Ovis aries: one gene and its partners. The protein of the gene in region 3 purifies or fractionates together with the protein of the main gene of each other region. This does not show direct contact. Links are inferred from orthologs where the notes say so. Each region holds a gene or a part of one and is shown on either strand. Other genes may lie near its edges.

Region 1 (3,500 bases), on a different chromosome or scaffold from region 3:
GCAAGGAGATCCAACCAGTCCATTCTGAAGGAAATCAGCCCTGGGATTTCTTTTGGAAGGAATGATGCTAAAGCTGAAACTCCAGTACTTTGTCCACGTCATGCAAAGAGTTGACTCCTTGGGAAAGACTCTGATGCTGGGAGGGATTGGGGGCAGGAGAAGAAGAGGACGACAGAGGATGAGATGGCTGGATGGCATCAAAGACTCGATGGACGTGAGTCTGAGTGAACTCCTGGAGTTGGTGATGGACAGGGAGGCCTGGTGTGCTGCGATTCATGGGGTCGCAAAGAGTCGGACACAGCTGAGCGACTGAACTGAACTGAACTGAACTGATGGGTACTAAAAACAGACCAGTAGAGAGAAGTGGGTTCCAGAGAATGCTTTTTAGTTTATTATCTGTGTAAGCTTGCCCATAAACAAACCAAAAATTAGAATATTTTGTATTCGACCCAATTCTTGGCAACCTTAGTTTTGGTCTCAAGTACAAGATATCAAACAAAAGTCGACACTGTCAGATTTATTAGGATTTCCTTGCATTTTTCTTCTTCCTTGTCACAGATTTTTAAAAACTAAGAAATAGTTTGAATTTGGTTCTAGGGATATGCTTATAAATTTGACACTCACTAGAGTGATAACTTTCCTCGGGGGGAAAAATGAGGTGGTGAAAGATCAAGAAGCTAGTTTTTTATGGAAAATTAATCCATAAATAGTTATTAGACTTTTTTTGATCATGGTCACTGTTCCTGATATGATTCTTTTCACTGGGTTGTAAAATAATGTGTAATGAAGTTTTATTCTTTGGAGATTAGAAAAATTACTTCACATACATTATTTCCATTCCAGGCTCTAAATTATCTTGGAATTCAGCCCACAAAAGAACAACACCAAGCCCTGAGAGAGAAAATGCAAGTAGACCCAAAGGGGATGGTGTCTTTTGGAGGTAACGTTAGGTTCATCATGTTGCATCATCACAGAAACTTGGTCGAAGAGTTGTTGTGGCCCACATTTATTAAGAGTGCCTCTTCTTTAGCAGGAAAGAAAGAAAAACAAAAGCCACATCTATTAATATGTCAAGTTCCTTAAATGGTGGGACTTTGTTGGTGGCTCAGCGGTAAATAATCCACCCGCAAATCAGGAGACGTGGGTTTGATCTTTGGGTCAGAAGATCCCCTGGAGGAGGGCCTGGCAACCCACTCCAGTATTCTTGCCTAGAGAATCTCATAGACAGAGAAGCCTGGAGAGCTATATACAGTCCATGGGGTCACAAAGAGTCAGACACAACTGAAGTGACTGAACATGTACGTAACGCCTTAAACAGTATTCTAAACACTCAGAATTATCGGCCTAACTGAGTCAGCAGAAAGGAGAACTTTCTTAGAATCCTTCAGCTTTAAAATTTTATTCTATCATGTTATGTTCTGTTTTTAATTTGTTGCATAAATGTTTTCAACCAATATGATATAATTATTAATATCTTAAACTTTGCACTATTGGAAATTTTGATGTTTTTTCATTAACTGATAATATAAATAATTCTATGTTTAATATAGCTTTTTTCTTCTTTCTCTTAGGATAAATTCCCACAAGTGGCCTAGACTTTTCAAATGTACTAATGAATTGTTTTTCAGAGACAGTTTACACACATATTTGCTCTGCTACTAGTAATGTTTGAATGTAACTGGTTTTTGTATCCTTGATAACATTAAGAATTTAATTTTTTTTTATAGAGTAGATGCAACATTGTATCATTCTAAAAGCCTCAGTATTGCTAAAGAAAGAAATTTGGGGTTTTGAAGTGATAAAAAAGATACATTTGATCCCCTCTCCTTTTGAAAATCATCACAAAATAATGAGAACAAGAAATAGAAATACATGTATGACCACAGTGAATAAGGACAGAAAGTAAATGAGAACAGTAAATGAATTAGTGAGCAGAGGCATATAAAGCCCAAGAGTTTGAAAAGATAGGAGAATCACAGCAGAGAGCAAGCCAATTCCTGGAAAGGTTTAGAAATTGAGAGCATCAGGTACTTAAGGCTGGGTGTAGGCAGGGCATTTAGAACAGAGTTGTTAGGAATCTGTGTAAGGAGCAATTAGGTATGCTTTTCCCTGCCCTCTCTCAAGCAATCCAGCAACTACCACTCCCTTATCCTTGCAGAGGAAAATAAGTCTATCCTCTTTAGAAATTACACCAGATTGATTCCAGACCTATAGTTGCCAGCAGCTAGGGAATTTAGGGGTATGTATGGTGAATTATCACTCACAACACACACTCAGATTGCTCAGTGATATTTGCAACCATATTTATACTTTATGGGTAAGCAGTTGTAGGAGTTTCTCCAAAGAAACTGAACAAGACCTCAAAATAGTTGGCTACCTGATTGCTCTGTAATGAAACCCACTAGTTGACAAAGAGAGTTAGGCACGCAAAATTTCCAATCAATGATTTAGTGCCTAATTTTTCTTGAATGTGAACTTAAAACCAGGAGTTATCAGACATTTGGAGAAATCCTTCAACATAAATGTAAAGCCCCAAAGTGTCAGATAAATAGAAAAAGAGGAACTCAGAAAAGGAATATTCCAAGAGCAAAGAGAACTTCAGGTAAACCATATATTAGAAATGATAAAAAAAAAAAAAAAAACTAAGCTGTCCATGAAATAAGAGAAGGATATTATAAAATAGGAGCAGTTAAAAAGATCATTGGAAACTAAATATATAATAGCCAAATTTTAAAAAAAAATTGAAGATAGATGAACATGTCACACTCCATGTCTCAGGAAACCTATAGTTTGCTAGGTGGGCATTAGGCAGTGTTATATAACAATCAAGAGCATATGACTTTCAGTCAGACCTTAAATGGAATCTTGCTTTGCTACTTATTTGCCAAGTTAACTTATCTTAGCCCCAAATTGTAAAATGGAGAGGATTAGAGGACCTATCTCAGAAAATTCTGGAGATGAAATTACAAAGTGCCATTCCTAGCATTTGAGGCAGTTATGGAAACATTCACTGCTATTATTATTATTACTTCTACTACTATTGTTATTATTGTTAAGCCTATTTAAGTAAGTTAAATTTTAACTGTTATTATAACACATAGCTTTAACTTCATGTAGAGAAAGGTAAAGTTGACTTAGATAAGGTTAAGTACTGTATTCTTACTGAAATGTGTTCTGTTTTAGATTTTGTCCACACTGCCAGAAACTTGTTTTGCTTGCAATTGGATGAAGCCAATGTTGGTGCACATGAAATTTCCAGCATATTAAATTCACAGGTAGAGTATGCCCTATAGAGGTGTCTTAATTGCACTTAAGTCATGTCTTAAATGGGCTTCCCTGTTAGCTCAGCTGGTAAAGAATCCGCCTGTAATGCAGGAGACCCAAGTTCGATTCCTAGGTTGGGAACATCCCCTTGAGAAGGGATAGGCTACCCACTCCAGTATTCTTGGGCTTCCCTGGTGACTCAGACAGTAAAGAATCCTCCTGCAATGCAGGAGACC
Region 2 (3,346 bases), on a different chromosome or scaffold from region 3:
CCCGTCTGCTGTGGCTGGCTGGCACTCCAGTCCCTGGGGCACCGAGTCACCTTGGGAGCTTGTTGATGATGCAGAATCCCAGGCCGCACTCCCAGGCCACCTCATCCAGGCAGCTGTGGTGTGGCCCTGGAAGCAGCATTTTTATAGGCTCCTCTTCAGAATTCTGGAGCAGGTGTTCCGTGATCCACTCCTGGAGAAATGACACCGAGGAGCTCCTACTCAGTACCCCCTGCATGTCTTACAACCCCACCACCAACACACACACATCCCCTCCCCCCCCGCCGCAAGGCAAGCCCCACAGAAGTTCCTGCTTCTTCACTTCCTCTTCTGCTCAGCCAAGGGGATGCCTTGCAAAGGGGACCCCTGATAGCTAGTCTGAGCCCATGTTCCCTTCAGGGCCTTTCTATGTCCTGAGGCACAGGGGTGTCCAGAGGCTGGGCCAAGACCCGTGCACACTGCAGACCTTCCTCCACTAGCTGCCTGAGCAATGCATGTTGTGGAGAGGGCCACCAGGCAAGGGCCTGAGAGGACCTCTAGTAGCTGTGAGCAGCCCCTGGTCAGCGGCTGAGTGAGAAAATGCAAGGAAATGAATTCTACCCAGGACCTGAGGGAGCCTGGCTGCAAATCATCCCTTCGTCAAACCCCCGGATAGGGATGCACTCAGTCAGAACCTAGATTTCAGCCTCATAAGACCCTGAGCAGAGGATTCAGCCAACCTGTGTCTGTCTAAACTCCTACCTACTGAAAATGTGGGATAGTGAGTTTGCATTACATTCAGCTGCTAGTTTGTATAATTTGTTATGCAGTAACAGAAAACCAATCCAACGCCCAATAAAGTGATTTTTTAAATGGTATTAATACATAAGACATTAACTATGAGACCTGTCCTCACTTCAGGCTGGCCAGCATGCTTTTAGGAACAGGAAACCACTCAATGGAGTGGTTCTGTGCTTTTCTAGGGTGACCATTGTCTAGTCTGTGCTTATAAATGAGCAAGGCGGGGAGATCCAGCTGAGTGATCTCAGTGACTCCAGGTCTCACCTGAAGATGCTTTTGCTTAGCTCTGCTGCCCCTGTACTATCATCAGTCATGTCCTGCTCTTCATGACCCTGTGGACTGTAGCCCGCCAGGCTCCTCTGTCCATGGGATTCTCCAGGCAAGAATACTGGAGTCGGTTGCTATTTCCTTTGCTCTGGCCCATGTCCAGTCTCAGAAACCTGTCTGGATATGTTGACGCAGAAAGAGGCAGAGCTCAGGCAGTAGATGGAAGCCAGTGAGAGTAAGGGAAGCAACTGCGTGTAGGGAGTGCATGGGTGGGATCTGGAGCCAGCTGCTTGGGGTGGAATCTCAGCTTCACTGCTTATAACGTGTGTGATTTAACCTCTGGGAGCCTCATCTGTGCACATGATAACAGTCAGGACCTCATAGGGTTGTGAAAATGAACTCAGGTAATGGAAGTAAAGCACCCAGCACCATGCCTGGGATATAAAAATGCTCACTAATATGAGGGGTAGACCTGGAAAAAATCAAAACAGGCTCCCAGGGGTTGGGCGAGCCTCACTTTTGGAATGGAAGCCCTCTGATGAATGAAGGAGGATAAGCTGACCTCCAGAGCAGGGGAGAGCACAGAGTCAGTGGACCCGGCCTTGTACTAACCGGTCCAAACCATCCCCACCCCCGCAGCCTTCGTCCGTTAAATCCCTGCGCGCTGAGCGCCTGCCACGCACCTCGCTGGACCTCGAATTGGACCTGCAGGCCACCAGGACCTGGCACAGCCAGCTGACTCAGGAGATCTCGGTGCTGAAGGAGCTCAAGGAGCAGCTGGAACAAGCCAAGAGCCACGGGGAGAAGGAGCTGCCGCAGTGGGTGCGGGAGGACGAGCGCTTCCGCCTGCTGCTGAGGATGCTGGAGAAGCGGGTGGGTGGCGAACCGCGGGAACACAGGGCGCGCCGCTGCAAGGGAGGGCGGCGAGGGCCCTGAACGGGTCCTGCAGTTCTGTGACTCACTGAGAGTGCTCCCAGAGCCCCTCAAGCTCATCAGCAAAGGAAGCCAGCAATCCCTCCCCCAGGAAGCTTGATTCACTGTTTACTGCTGCCAGGTTCTTTTGCTGCATTCCCGTCTATGTGTGCAAGCCCTTATTACTCGCACGTTTATTCCAGCAGCTGGTCCTTCATCAGGCATACTGGGGGGCACTTTATCTACGCTGGGGCACACACTTGCACAGAGGAAATAAAAACGCTGACTTGCCCTCGTGCCTGCCTACCCAGTCCCACAGAGCACGTTTCTCCAAAGGGGAGAGGAGTGGGTCCTGGCCGGGTTTTATCCTGATGAAGACGCCTGAGGATACAAGCCTCCTGGCGTCTCATCCGTAGCGTAGTGAGCTGGGGAGATCTCAGCGTTGCTCAAGAAAAAAGATACAACCACAAAGGGGCCAGAGCATACGATGAGTTGAATTTGGGTGGCTGCTGCTTTCACAGGTGTGTATTTGGGAAGGTCTCACACTGCATGAGACGCCCCCACCCCCAGCCTCCAGAGGCAGCTGTTTTGGCTCCACTGCCTAGAGGGGACTCCAGGAGTTGGTGATGGACAGGGAGGCCTGTCGTGCTGTGATTCATGGGGTCGCAAAGAGTCGGACACGACCGAGCAACTGAACTGACTGACCTAGAGAGGAGGAGACCAGGCGAACTCCCAGGGGAAAAGGGAGCTGGAGAGGGGACCTAGACTTGGAGATGATGTGACTTGGAGCACCATGAGAAGTCTTGGGTTGGAGAACAAAGCAGCAAGAGTTTGGAGTCTTTTATAGTCCTGGGGTTTAGCACATCTAGACTAGCAGATGTTGGGTGCACTTTTAGGGGGTATAGGTAACAGGCAGGCTCTAAAAGTCTAAAAAAAAAAAAAAAAGAAAAACCAAACTGCTATTTGAGCTTCATTTAAAACAATTGGATGGGTAAAAATTTGTCTTTGACACCAGTGGGCTCTTAGCTAACAGATCCCAGACTGTGGTGAAGAAATAAAACACCATAGGGTTAACACACAGAGGCCATCTCTGCCTCATTCCTTTCATACCTGCCAGGATGGCTGTCCATGGCAGAAATGACAAGCTTTTGCTAGTTTTCTCTGCACACAGCCAAGCAATACAAGAGCGCCTTCCAGAGGGTGCCTCACTGGATTGTTGGGAGGGCCATTAGCTAAAATTCCGACTCTCAATTAAGGTGATAACATAAAGCAGGAGGTGGTGCTGGGCTTCCTAGGTCTGGACTTGTGGGAGCCTCAAATTGACTCTAGTAAATCAGAAGTTCCCCAAACATTTATTTCTTTCTTGTTTATTATATCAGAGTTATAATAA
Region 3 (3,500 bases):
ATAGGTAACCACATATTTTTCTATTGGAATATAATTTGCTTTATAATGTTGCGCAACACTGTGAATCAGCCATATGTGTACATATATCCCCTCCCTCGTGAGCCACCCTCCCACCCTCTCATTCCACTCCTTTAGGTCATCATAGAGTGTTTTTTTTTTTTTTTTAACTGTCAGAAAGTCCTGTCCAAAGAAATAGAATGGCATAACTCTCATGGATCATAATTGTGTATTTTAGTCATATTTTTGAGAGTGAAGACTCTCAAAACAATACTAATACAATAAAAAACAATAAATAAACTAAAACAATAAAAACAATTAAAAAAAAAACTGAGCCCCATAAAACTCTGCAGGAAACTGACAGTGGTGAGTTTCCTGGGCTGAATTTAGATGACGAAATAATGACCGAAAAAATGGACTCAAGCAGAGATGCGGATCGCACAGCTGCTTCTTGCTAGAGTATCTGTGAAAATCTTCCACAGCTGTAATATGCTGTCTTCTTTTGGCCAAATCGCCTCTCCTGTTTTCCATCTACTCTCTGGAAAAAGCTGTCAGTCTGCATGGGCTGTGCCCGTCGGGCGTTGTTAACAGAAACGTGCCTTCCTCCATATTCTCCGAGGCCCACATTTCATCTTGTGGATCTGGGTTAGACATGGGTGCGTTTAATAGACCCAGAGAGCCTGTGAGAACTTGTCCTTGTGTTTTTGGAGTGGAGTTGTATATCTTGCCAGTGTTTCCTCCCTGGATTCCAAGCAGCCGTTAACATAGAACAGAGATTTGTTTGCTCCAGAGGTGAAATCACATTTGTGAAACCCACCTCAGTAGCATTGGCGGTTGGGTTTTTAATGCAGCTTTTAATACCCTCCTGTCAATACTTGGGAATATGCTGAAAGGCCCCAGGCAGCAGCATACTCTGGAAGTATTTATGGCTCCTATATGTTGGGTGCCAGAGAGGATAATGTTTAAAAGCATGATTCCACAGATAAGCCAAATTCCTAGCCAGCCAGCAAATACACAAGTGTCATCTCCCACCAGTAATCAGAAAATGGATTTTGCTTGCCAGCTTTGACCTAAACATGTCTTGTGTAATGAGATAATAACTGACATGGTTTTTGTTTGAATCAAGTTAGTATATAGTTTCATAAAACAAATGAGAGAAAAAGTTGCAAACAGTGATCACTCCATTACCCCTAAAGCTATCTTGAGATCCACACCGGTGAATGTGTAAGGAAGCCTTACTTGGCAATATCAAGGCACAGGAATGAAGAGATACCCAGAGAGAGTCCCTCCAAAGGCCCATTTCCCCCTGCTAGCATCACCTCCCACACTCGGGGCACGCCTTTTTATTGATGAGTCTCCACTGCTGATATTTATCTCTGCAGAATTATCCTCCCAATGTGGGCTTTAAAAATATTCACAACCTAAAAGTTGAGAGTTATGCTTTATTTGGTGGGGATTTTTCAGAATTTAAAGCCTAGGAGACAGCATCTCAAGTAAACCTGAGGGAATTGCTCCCTGGAGGCTAGGGGAGGAGCCAGGTTATATAGAAGTTTCGCAACAAAGGGCAGGGTAGTCAGAACATCAGGAGATTATTGTTAATTAAAGAAAACCAGATAACCCAAGTTAAGGAATTTAGCACTTTTCTGTGAATGGGAAGGTGCAAGAGTCTGGGCTCACTGAAATCATTCCTTTGATATGCACCTCAGCTATCTGGGGCCAGTATGGTCTTTTTACCACCTGAGCTCCCTGGAGGCTCACCATGGGGAGTGGCTGCAGTCGGATGGCTGCTAGAGGGCAGGTGTTCTTTCCTTCCCGAGCCCCCTCAGGGCTCACCAGCTCACCATCCATGCTGGTGGTGACTGTGATATCCTTTGTTTACTGATATGGCAGGAAATACTCCATTTCTCACGAAGGTCACCCTGAACTGTGTAGGGTAATGTTTTTATTATCCAAAATCATGTCAGGATTCCAGAGTTCAGTTGGATGCTATGATACTGCACAAGGGGAAGGTAGTGATGAAATATCATGTACTGCTGGCTTCTGTGCATTCATAACACCTTTACTGTATGTGGTACAGAGCAGTGGGTACAAGAGACGTTTAGGACACTCTTCCCATCAGGGCACTGGCAGAAGGACATTGTTATTCCAAAGGGGTGTTATTCCATGGTTGACTTTTCTATTATTTAAAAGGATGCCACAAAGTACTGTTTCTCAATATAGCAGTGGGGTATAAAACCAATTTAGTAAGGGAGAGCTTGTGGAGTTTTGTTTTGTTTTTTTGCTTGTTTTGTTTTTTTAATGGATAGAATATAAAAAAGGAAAAGAATGGCAATTATTAATGCATTGCATATTGGAAACATAACTATTATGTCTGTAAAAATTGTTAAATTACGCACATATATATTCATATAATATTATACATGTGTGTGTGTGTATGTTTAATATGCACTGATTTATACATAATTACTGTGAGTTGAAGACCAAAACCCATGAGATATATTTTGATAAGCTTGAGTGGCATAATGTTTTCATGTGAGGCTGTGTCGCTAGCCACTCCTGGTCTCAGGACTGTTGATAATGGCACTAACACATTGGACCTAAAAATGTTATCCAAGGTTTTCAGGTGGCTGCAAAAGGACCTGTGGTCAGCATGGAATTCTGTCCTGGATTTGGGGTTCATTCACTGATGCTTCCCTTGGCTTCCAGGTGGTGGTCGGTGGGGCAGAATGGCACTACATCGCCACTCAGGGGCCCCTGCCACACACATGCCATGACTTCTGGCAGATGGTGTGGGAGCAGGGAGCCAACGTGATCGCCATGGTCACCGCAGAGGAGGTAAGTGGCAGGGGCACCCCGCCATCTGTCCCCGGGGAAGGGAGCGGTTGGAAGATGAGCTTTGTGTTGGCGACCCCACTGCCCTGTCCCCCTTCTGGCATCTTTTCTCTGCCAATCCTTTTCTCTCTGACGTGCCTCTCTTTTCTCTCCTTATTTCCATATAGGTTTGTTTTGTTTTCCAAAGATCAATTTATTGTTATGTCCCATTTTGATCCAGCTTTTAACTGTTTTTCTTGAATCACCATGTACTACGATTAAACAAGCAAACAAAAAACAACCAGACTTCAGTCCAGCCAGCTCACTTTTGTTGTGTCAAACAAAGCAATGGTCTTTTTATTGGAGTCTGAGAACTTTGGGGGATCTCCGAGTAACTCGGCGTATATTCCCAAACCCTGGGCATGGCAGCTCATAGGCTCTCCTGTTTATCAGCTAGAAAGAGACCAGAAGTTGTTATTTCTGTAGAGGAGGCCTCTATTCTTTGGGGAGAGAGAAAAAAAAAAATCTGTTTCTTCCTTTGCCAAGTCAAACATAGTTTTTCCATTGTAACTGAAGAAGTCTACGTGGTGTTGCCAAAACTGGCGTATACCCCCAGTCCATTTAGCAATTCACTCAGAGCCTCTTGTCTTTGGGGAAAGATGTTTTGTATTTCGGCTCTTGTCACAGTCTAA
Region 4 (3,500 bases), on a different chromosome or scaffold from region 3:
TGGTGAAGGTGATGACATGATTTATTGATTACCCCTAGGAATAACCACAGCAGCCTGACAGAGAGTGACTGCGGAAGGACTTCGGAGGTGTTCTTGATTTCCGCCATCCAGCAGGGACAGGATGAAATGCTCGGGAACTGGGGTCCTTCAGGCCCAGAGCACAGGAGAAAGGCACAATACCCACTCTTCTCTCTTCCCTCTCTCTTGCTTTATCTTCCCTTTGTAGATGTCAGTGGTTTGTGGTAGGAACTGGGTTTGGCAGAGTTTGCACTGCTCCGTGTCATAGGGGTGATATTAACTCCCATGAGCGGCACACTGAGGGCCAGGCATGGCTGATGCTCCTGATGCATTATGAGAGCATCAACCTTCCCAGCACCCCACGAAGTAGATACCGTGTTGCCCCCACCTTGCAGGTGAGGAGCTAATGAGCCTGAGAGATGGGGCAATGTGCTCGCTGGAACTGAGGAGCCCCTGAGATGTGAGTGCAGGTCGGGCGGGCTCTGGGGGGTGGCGGGCCCCAGTGCCACACACCGCACGCCTCCCTGGGGGCAGGTGCGAGGCCCTGCAGCAGGTCTCTGCTTTGCTGGAGCCATTCTGTAAACACTGCTTCGGTGCTCCTTTTCTTTGCGGCTGATTATTTCAGTCAACACGTCACTTGCAGCTTTGGCACCTGCCGGGCGAGCAGCACACGAACCACCCAGCATCTCTGTCTGCACCCCGGGCGCTGGAGTCTCTTTCTTATCGTGTTCGGGGCGGGCTCCTCAGACCACAGCTGTGACCACCTGCCAGCCAAGGTGCACGCCATCCCAGGATGTTTACAACCACATCCACTGTATTAAAAGCTCTGGCCTCGCAAAGGTGAGCAATTAAAGCGTAGGAGACTCCCCCTCTGTTTCTGCTTCTCTGAGCTCAGGCAGGAGTGGGAACTCAACCCCATGGCAACTAGCTCTACAGCCAGAAGGTGGCAGGGCGACACCGCAGGCTGGGACCGCTTTCTCCAAATTAACTCTCTGCGGAAAGGGAGAGTCTGGCATGAAACAGAAACTGTATTTATAGAGAATTCCCATAGCAATCTAAACATTGAACCTTGGTACTAATTAGCTGCTATGCTAATTGCCTTGGTTTGAATCTGTTTTAGGCCAACTTTGAAAAAAAAATAAAAAAAGTCCTCTTCCCCACCTCACTATTTCAGAAACAGCCCCTTATCTGGAAGCCTGAAGAATGTTCACAAAGTATGTCCCCAGGCAGCTCAGGACACTGCAGGGTTCCAGACGACAAAATGGACATTTAACGGTTAAATCTATTAAATACGGAAGGCGATTTATATTCGATGAGAAAAAAAAAAAACAACTGTGCGAGTTATAGCAATAAACGTTCTTTCCCAAATGAAGCCAAAATGAAAAAAGAGCAGCAGAAAGAGAAGGGGGACGTGTACCAATACTTGCTCCCACAGAAAAAGTAACCTCCCCTCATCCCTGAAGATGGTTTGGCGGGGGCAGCTTAGAGCGTGGTCTCTGTGTACCTGCGGGCCCCTCGTACAGTGGCTCCTGAGCACACTCGCCAAGCTCCTTGTTCTCGTCCAGCAGAGACGGGGGCGCTCCTCCCGGGTCAGGGTCCAGCAGCAGCTGATGCTCTCTGAGGCTGATGTCTGCAAAGTGACCGCTCAGCTCACAGTCCTCAAAGTCAGCAGAGAACTGGTGGAGGGGGCCGTCGTGGGGAGACATGGGGAATGCGCCTTCCAAGACCAACGGGGAGCCGGGCGGGGACAGGGAAGACAGGGAGGACCTCGAGGACAGGGACGTTACGGACTTGGGGGCCTCTGCCAGGGGGGTGGGGTGGCCTGGGGCTGCGGCCGCCGCCCCCCCGGGGCCGCTCTGGCCAGGCTGGCTGGGGGACTTGGCCACCTCGTGTTCGTGGATGGTGGTGATGGGGCCGGAAGGCATGTAGCCGCCTTTCTCCTGCAGGAGGAAGTCCAGTTTGTACTGATAATCCGCGTCCAGCTGGTCGCCCTGGCTGGTGTAGTAGAGCTCGCTGGAGCTGAGGGAGTTGAGCGACCCTCTGCTGGATGTGTTCAGGGACCCCCGGCTGGAGGCCAGGGAGCCCAGGCTGCTCCCAGAGGACACGGACAGCGTGCTGGCGGAGAGGCTGGGAGAGGAAGGCGTACAGTGAGAGCCTGGACGTGGGCTTCCCTGGCGGCTCAGTGGCAGAGACCCCGCATGCTGAGCAGCCGTGCAGCCTGTGCACCACAGCTGCTGAGCCTGGGAGCTGCAGCTACGGACGCCCGAGCACCCTGGAGCCTGTGCTCCTCGACAAGAGACGCCACTGCCACAAGCAGCCCAAGCACAGCAGCTAGAGGGGCCCCTGCTCGGCACAGCTGGAGAAAAGCCGGTTCAGCGACGGAAAACCAGCGCAGCCAAAATAAATAAGTAAGACCAAACAGAAACAAAGCAAGAAGCTGCGATGATGTGGATGGAAGCCCTTGCTGGCTCCTTTGGCAGAGAGGGAAGGAACCCAGTGATGTCAAAGATCAAGGTCAGCGACCAGGGAAAGGGCACCTGCAGCCACGCCACATGTTTCCATGCCCAGTCTCAAACATTTCCAACCCGGCTCTCAAAAGATTCTCTGAGGAGCAATCCTACCTTACCAAAAATCATCCTCCTTGTGTAAAAGTTTACAAAAAATTTAAAAAGGGATCAAACATCTACTGATAAATCTATCCGCATAAATATCCAGAAGCAACTGTGCAACTAAAGATATATAAAAGTGTGTGTGTGGAGGTAAACAGCATGAAGGGTTACTGCTGTGACTTTACTTAAAGAACGAAATCTTTTATTGTGAGAGAGGAAAAAGCCAGCTTCTAAAGACAAAGGCCGCTAGGCTCACTCCCCTTCTTCCTCTTTCTGTGTATATTTTGGAAGTGAATGTGTGGCTATTTTAGGGCAAATCTCCCTTTTTAAAAGAAGGGATGATGTGGAGAAATGTGTTATTTTCCTAAGTATGTCCTGGTCATTAAAATATATCTTCTTCCCAACACACTGCAAACAGCTTCCAAATAGGACCCTGGGGTTCATGAAAGCAAACAAACAAATCTCTCCAACTTTAAATCTGGTCATTCAGGTTTTAACCGTACTAGTGCAACTATTTTCTTACTTTTAAGTCATCAAAAATAAAGAGGAGGTAATTGAAGCAGAATTGCAACATGCCTGAAGGTAGCCAAGAAAAATTTTCCCTTCAGGAACAAAACAGACTTACTTTTTAAGTTGTGAATGCAAATATGTAGTTAATTTAGTAGTTTCTTCAAGTTTCTGTAGCAGCTCTTTCCTTCGCTCTTCCAATTTCAATCTAGACAAAAAAAAAAAAGGAGATAAATAAATTTATTTTCAACATAATGACGATAAGCATAGAAACTGAAGGGAGAATAAAAAGATTCTTATTATTTTCCCTTGTGAAATCCAAATGAACTCAACACAGAGAAAACAGAACCACCCATCAGAAGGAAA
Region 5 (3,500 bases), on a different chromosome or scaffold from region 3:
AGACTCCCACCTCCGTGGGCTAGCCCACACTTCCCCGGAGCCAGCCATGTGGGTAGGGAGTGGCCAGACCAGGTTTCCCTTCTACTGACTCACTGTGACCTTGAGTAAGTCACTTCCCCTCAAGGGCATCACTCCCCCATGCCTATTATAAGGGGTTGGATTGAACTAGAGGTAAGATAGGGGATCCAAGCCCCAAAGCCAGCTTGAGGGTCAGAGAATCTTTCCATTCAGAGGGCTGACCTCTGAGCCCCAGCTCTCAATTCCCTGGAGGCTCAGATGGTAAAGAATCCTCCTGCAATGCAGGATACCTGGGTTTGATCTCTGGGTTGGGAAGACCCCCTGGAGAAGGAAATGACAACCCACTCCAATATTCTTGCCTGCAGAATTTCATGGACAGAGGAGCTACAGTCCATGGGTTAACAAGAGTCAGACACAACTGAGGGACTAACACTTTCACTTTACTTTTCGCAACAGAGGTGGCCTAATAGGGTGGAGCCTGAGCCTGCCTCTTGAGCTGCTAGCTAGGCAACTAGAAGCAAGTTACTTAACCTCTCTTTTTCCCATGTATAAAATAGGTATATTCCCAGACTCTCCTCCACAGGGTTTTTGGAGGATTCAGTATGTGGTAATACTAGGTACTCGATAAATGTAAACTGCTGTTAGTACTTAGCAAGTAAAGAAAGGGCCACCCAGCTATCTTGCCCTTCTAACTTCTGAAGCATGAGGTAGAGCCATCAAACCGAGCTTTCCCTTCTTGCCCTAGTGCCATCAGTCTCTGGGTCTGATCCCTCTGCCACCTCTCTGCAACCTCTTACCTCCTCTTCCTGCCTGAATTCCTTCTGAGCATCAGCTCACCTGAGGAGCCTTATGGGGTCACAGGCAGCCTGTACTCTGCAAACCTCCCCAACTTGTGAAGTGTGATTCTACCTCCCAGTACTTCCCCGCAAGCCGGCTCAAGGCCAAGCCCGTTGCCAGGTAGCCAGGCAGACCTGTGGGCTTAAACTTGTGAACAGCAGTGCTGGTTCTGCCTGTGTTGCTGCCGCTAGGCCAGAGGGCTGGGAGGGCCCAGTTGGGTTCTTCAGAGTCACCTGTATCAAGACCCTGAGAAATACCTGACCCTGGGCCGTAAAACTGGTGCTTCCTAACCTTGAGAACACTTCTTTCAGCACTTGAGGTCTTCATAAGTAATTGGATCTTCTCACGCCCTAGGCAGCCCATTCCACTCTGTTTTCGCCAAAGCCCACCACTTCGCAGAAGTCATCTTCATGGTTTCAGCTCACGCATATACCACAAGCACACATGCACGCTTCATGCCCACATGCACAGCCAGAGGGCAGGTCTGGTGGGTGGAATGGCCTGGGCAAGAGGCCAGCAGGGACCTCAAAAGCTTTGGTTGGAGCTGAGACACTTGTGTTTTAGCCAGAAGGTGGCTGCGTGTTGATGTCAGCAGCTTCTGAACCGTGAGGAGGGTCCCTGGAGGTGAATGAATGTGTAAGCAGCGTGTTTGAGGTGATGGTGAAGCTCAAGGGAGCCCCACCCCCTCCCAGATGGCTTCAGTATTCGACAGTAGTCCAGAAACACATTGAAGGAAGAGACCCCTGGGTTCTGCGAGTGGGGCAGCTGAGGAAGGGCAGGGTTGGCTGCTGTTTGCCTGAGTTTGGTCTGCAGTCGTGGCCCTCCATGACCCTCCATCTCTCCATAGCTCACCCCTGGAGGTAAAGCTGCACAGGCTGGCGTGGCCGTGGGTGACTGGGTGCTGAGTATTGATGGTGAGAACGCGGGGGGCCTCACACACATCGAAGCCCAGAACAAGATCCGTGCCTGCGGTGAGCGCCTTAGCCTCAGCCTCAGCAGGTAAGCCTGAGCTGAGCCGCCCTGGCAGGTGGGCGTGCCCTTGGGCGTGGTCCATTATCACCACTTCCCCTTCTCTTCTAGGGCTCAGCCTGCTCAGAGCAAACCGCAGAAGGTAGGGGATGGGCTTGGGATATGTGGGCAGCAGGCGGGGTGGGACTGGACATCGAGGCTCACCTGCCCTCCCTGGTGCAGCCTTGGTACTCTCCCATCCCTGGCCGGGAGTAGAGGGTGGACGCCAGAGCTGGGGAGTCTGGGAACTGGGAGTTGGGCCAGGGACTGCCGCACGGTCAGAGCACCATGCATGTCTGCCTGTCGGTCCGTCCGTCCATCCGTCTGTCTGCCTGCCTCCTTCCCTCTCTCCCGCCGGCCTGTGCTGCAAGCTGCACCAGCCCACCCGCCCTCGGACTGCGTGGGCTGAGATCATTGCTCCCAAATGGGCCCCTTGAAACCTGAGTCGCCCCCTCCCCGGAGCCTCAGGCCAGATGTGTGGGGGTAGGGCTGGAGCACCGCTGGCCCCTTCGTGCCAGGGGACGCCCCCCTCTGGCCAGAGCCCCCGCCTCCTCCCGCCCTGCCCGCCCTCCCCGCTCTGTCTCTGCCCAGGCCCTGGCCCCTGCCGCGGACCCCCCGCGGTACACCTTTGCACCCAGCGCCTCCCTCAACAAGACGGCCCGACCCTTCGGGGCGAACCCGCCCGCAGACAGCGCCCCGCAGCAGAATGGGTACGTCTGTCCTGCCCGTCCACGCCGTGTCTCCACCACCGCACGCCCGCCGGCTGCCCGCTGCTGCTCTGCCTGTGCTGCGCCCCAGCCTGGCCGGAACCGTGCGACAGCGACCCCTGGTGGCTGGGGCGGGTACTGCAGGCACAGGGCCCCACCGAGGGTGTGGCTCGTGCCGCCACCTCCTCGGTGGTAGCCTGGGGTTGGGATTTGATGTTGGCCGACTGAGCCCAGACACTCAGTGCAGCCTTCCCCCTGGCTATTCTGACCCCTTGCCATCTTTCTTCCTCCCCTTGTCTATCTCTTTGTACCTTTATCTGTCCATCTGTCTTATTTCCTTCACAGGTGCAGACCCCTGACAAGTCAGTGAGCCCCCTCTGCCTGTCCTCTCTTCCTTCCTTTTGGCACTCTGGGTGGTGGCCCCTCCCCACTCTGGCTGCCCTCCTTTCACCTTGGTTGCCCTCCTCCCCTCTCACTTCCCTACCCCACCCCTCACCCAGCAGGGCCCTGGCCTTGCCCTGCCCTCTTCCCCTCACTTTAGCCCACCTATATCAAGTCCGGGGAGGGGCCGCCCCTGCTGCCCACCCCAGCATGAGGTTCTGAGCCACACCCTCCCCACAGACAGCCGCTCCGACCGCTGGTGCCAGATGCCAGCAAGCAGCGGCTGATGGAGGACACGGAGGACTGGCGGCCGAGGCCTGGGACAGGCCAGTCCCGTTCCTTCCGCATCCTTGCCCACCTCACGGGCACCGAGTTCAGTAAGTGCCAGCCCAGGGAAGGGCGGACTCTGCTCCTGGTCCCCAGCCTGGACCCAGGCTTAGCTGGAGCCTGCTCCGGCACCCTCTACCAGGGCTCAGGGCTGGGGTGGCCTTCTGTCTGCTCTTGGTCAATGCCTGCCTCTGCCCTCTCAGTGCAAGACCCGGATGAGGA

The links. The genes of interacting proteins can lie anywhere in the genome.
Region 1: the proteins of PTPN14 (region 3) and STXBP4 purify together in Homo sapiens (affinity purification with mass spectrometry; 3 studies listed by BioGRID and IntAct, counting the BioPlex papers as one, with this or other methods). This does not show direct contact. The link is inferred for Ovis aries from reciprocal best matches to the Homo sapiens genes PTPN14 and STXBP4.
Region 2: the proteins of PTPN14 (region 3) and WWC1 purify together in Homo sapiens (affinity purification with mass spectrometry; 7 studies listed by BioGRID and IntAct, counting the BioPlex papers as one, with this or other methods). This does not show direct contact. The link is inferred for Ovis aries from reciprocal best matches to the Homo sapiens genes PTPN14 and WWC1.
Region 4: the proteins of PTPN14 (region 3) and WWC2 purify together in Homo sapiens (affinity purification with mass spectrometry, with the first as the bait; 3 studies listed by BioGRID). This does not show direct contact. The link is inferred for Ovis aries from reciprocal best matches to the Homo sapiens genes PTPN14 and WWC2.
Region 5: the proteins of PTPN14 (region 3) and PDLIM7 purify together in Homo sapiens (affinity purification with mass spectrometry; 3 studies listed by BioGRID and IntAct, counting the BioPlex papers as one, with this or other methods). This does not show direct contact. The link is inferred for Ovis aries from reciprocal best matches to the Homo sapiens genes PTPN14 and PDLIM7.

Annotation. Positions count from the first base shown.
Region 1 is NC_056064.1:5,021,543-5,025,042, forward strand, and holds part of STXBP4 (syntaxin-binding protein 4), read left to right. Parts: intron 1-843; coding exon 844-940; intron 941-3,183; coding exon 3,184-3,275; intron 3,276-3,500. UniProt on the Homo sapiens protein: Plays a role in the translocation of transport vesicles from the cytoplasm to the plasma membrane. Inhibits the translocation of SLC2A4 from intracellular vesicles to the plasma membrane by STX4A binding and preventing the interaction between STX4A and VAMP2.
Region 2 is NC_056058.1:78,063,658-78,067,003, forward strand, and holds part of WWC1 (protein KIBRA), read left to right. Parts: intron 1-1,683; coding exon 1,684-1,917; intron 1,918-3,346. UniProt on the Homo sapiens protein: Regulator of the Hippo signaling pathway, also known as the Salvador-Warts-Hippo (SWH) pathway.
Region 3 is NC_056065.1:68,675,801-68,679,300, forward strand, and holds part of PTPN14 (tyrosine-protein phosphatase non-receptor type 14), read left to right. Parts: intron 1-2,703; coding exon 2,704-2,832; intron 2,833-3,500. UniProt on the Homo sapiens protein: Protein tyrosine phosphatase which may play a role in the regulation of lymphangiogenesis, cell-cell adhesion, cell-matrix adhesion, cell migration, cell growth and also regulates TGF-beta gene expression, thereby modulating epithelial-mesenchymal transition.
Region 4 is NC_056079.1:13,335,216-13,338,715, reverse strand, and holds part of WWC2 (protein WWC2), read right to left. Parts: intron 3,343-3,500; coding exon 3,253-3,342; intron 2,146-3,252; coding exon 1,523-2,145; intron 1-1,522. UniProt on the Homo sapiens protein: Regulator of the Hippo signaling pathway, also known as the Salvador-Warts-Hippo (SWH) pathway.
Region 5 is NC_056058.1:36,694,815-36,698,314, reverse strand, and holds part of PDLIM7 (PDZ and LIM domain protein 7), read left to right. Parts: intron 1-1,702; coding exon 1,703-1,854; intron 1,855-1,935; coding exon 1,936-1,966; intron 1,967-2,454; coding exon 2,455-2,573; intron 2,574-2,915; coding exon of another isoform or gene 2,916-2,932; intron 2,933-3,191; coding exon 3,192-3,328; intron 3,329-3,481; coding exon 3,482-3,500. UniProt on the Homo sapiens protein: May function as a scaffold on which the coordinated assembly of proteins can occur. May play a role as an adapter that, via its PDZ domain, localizes LIM-binding proteins to actin filaments of both skeletal muscle and nonmuscle tissues.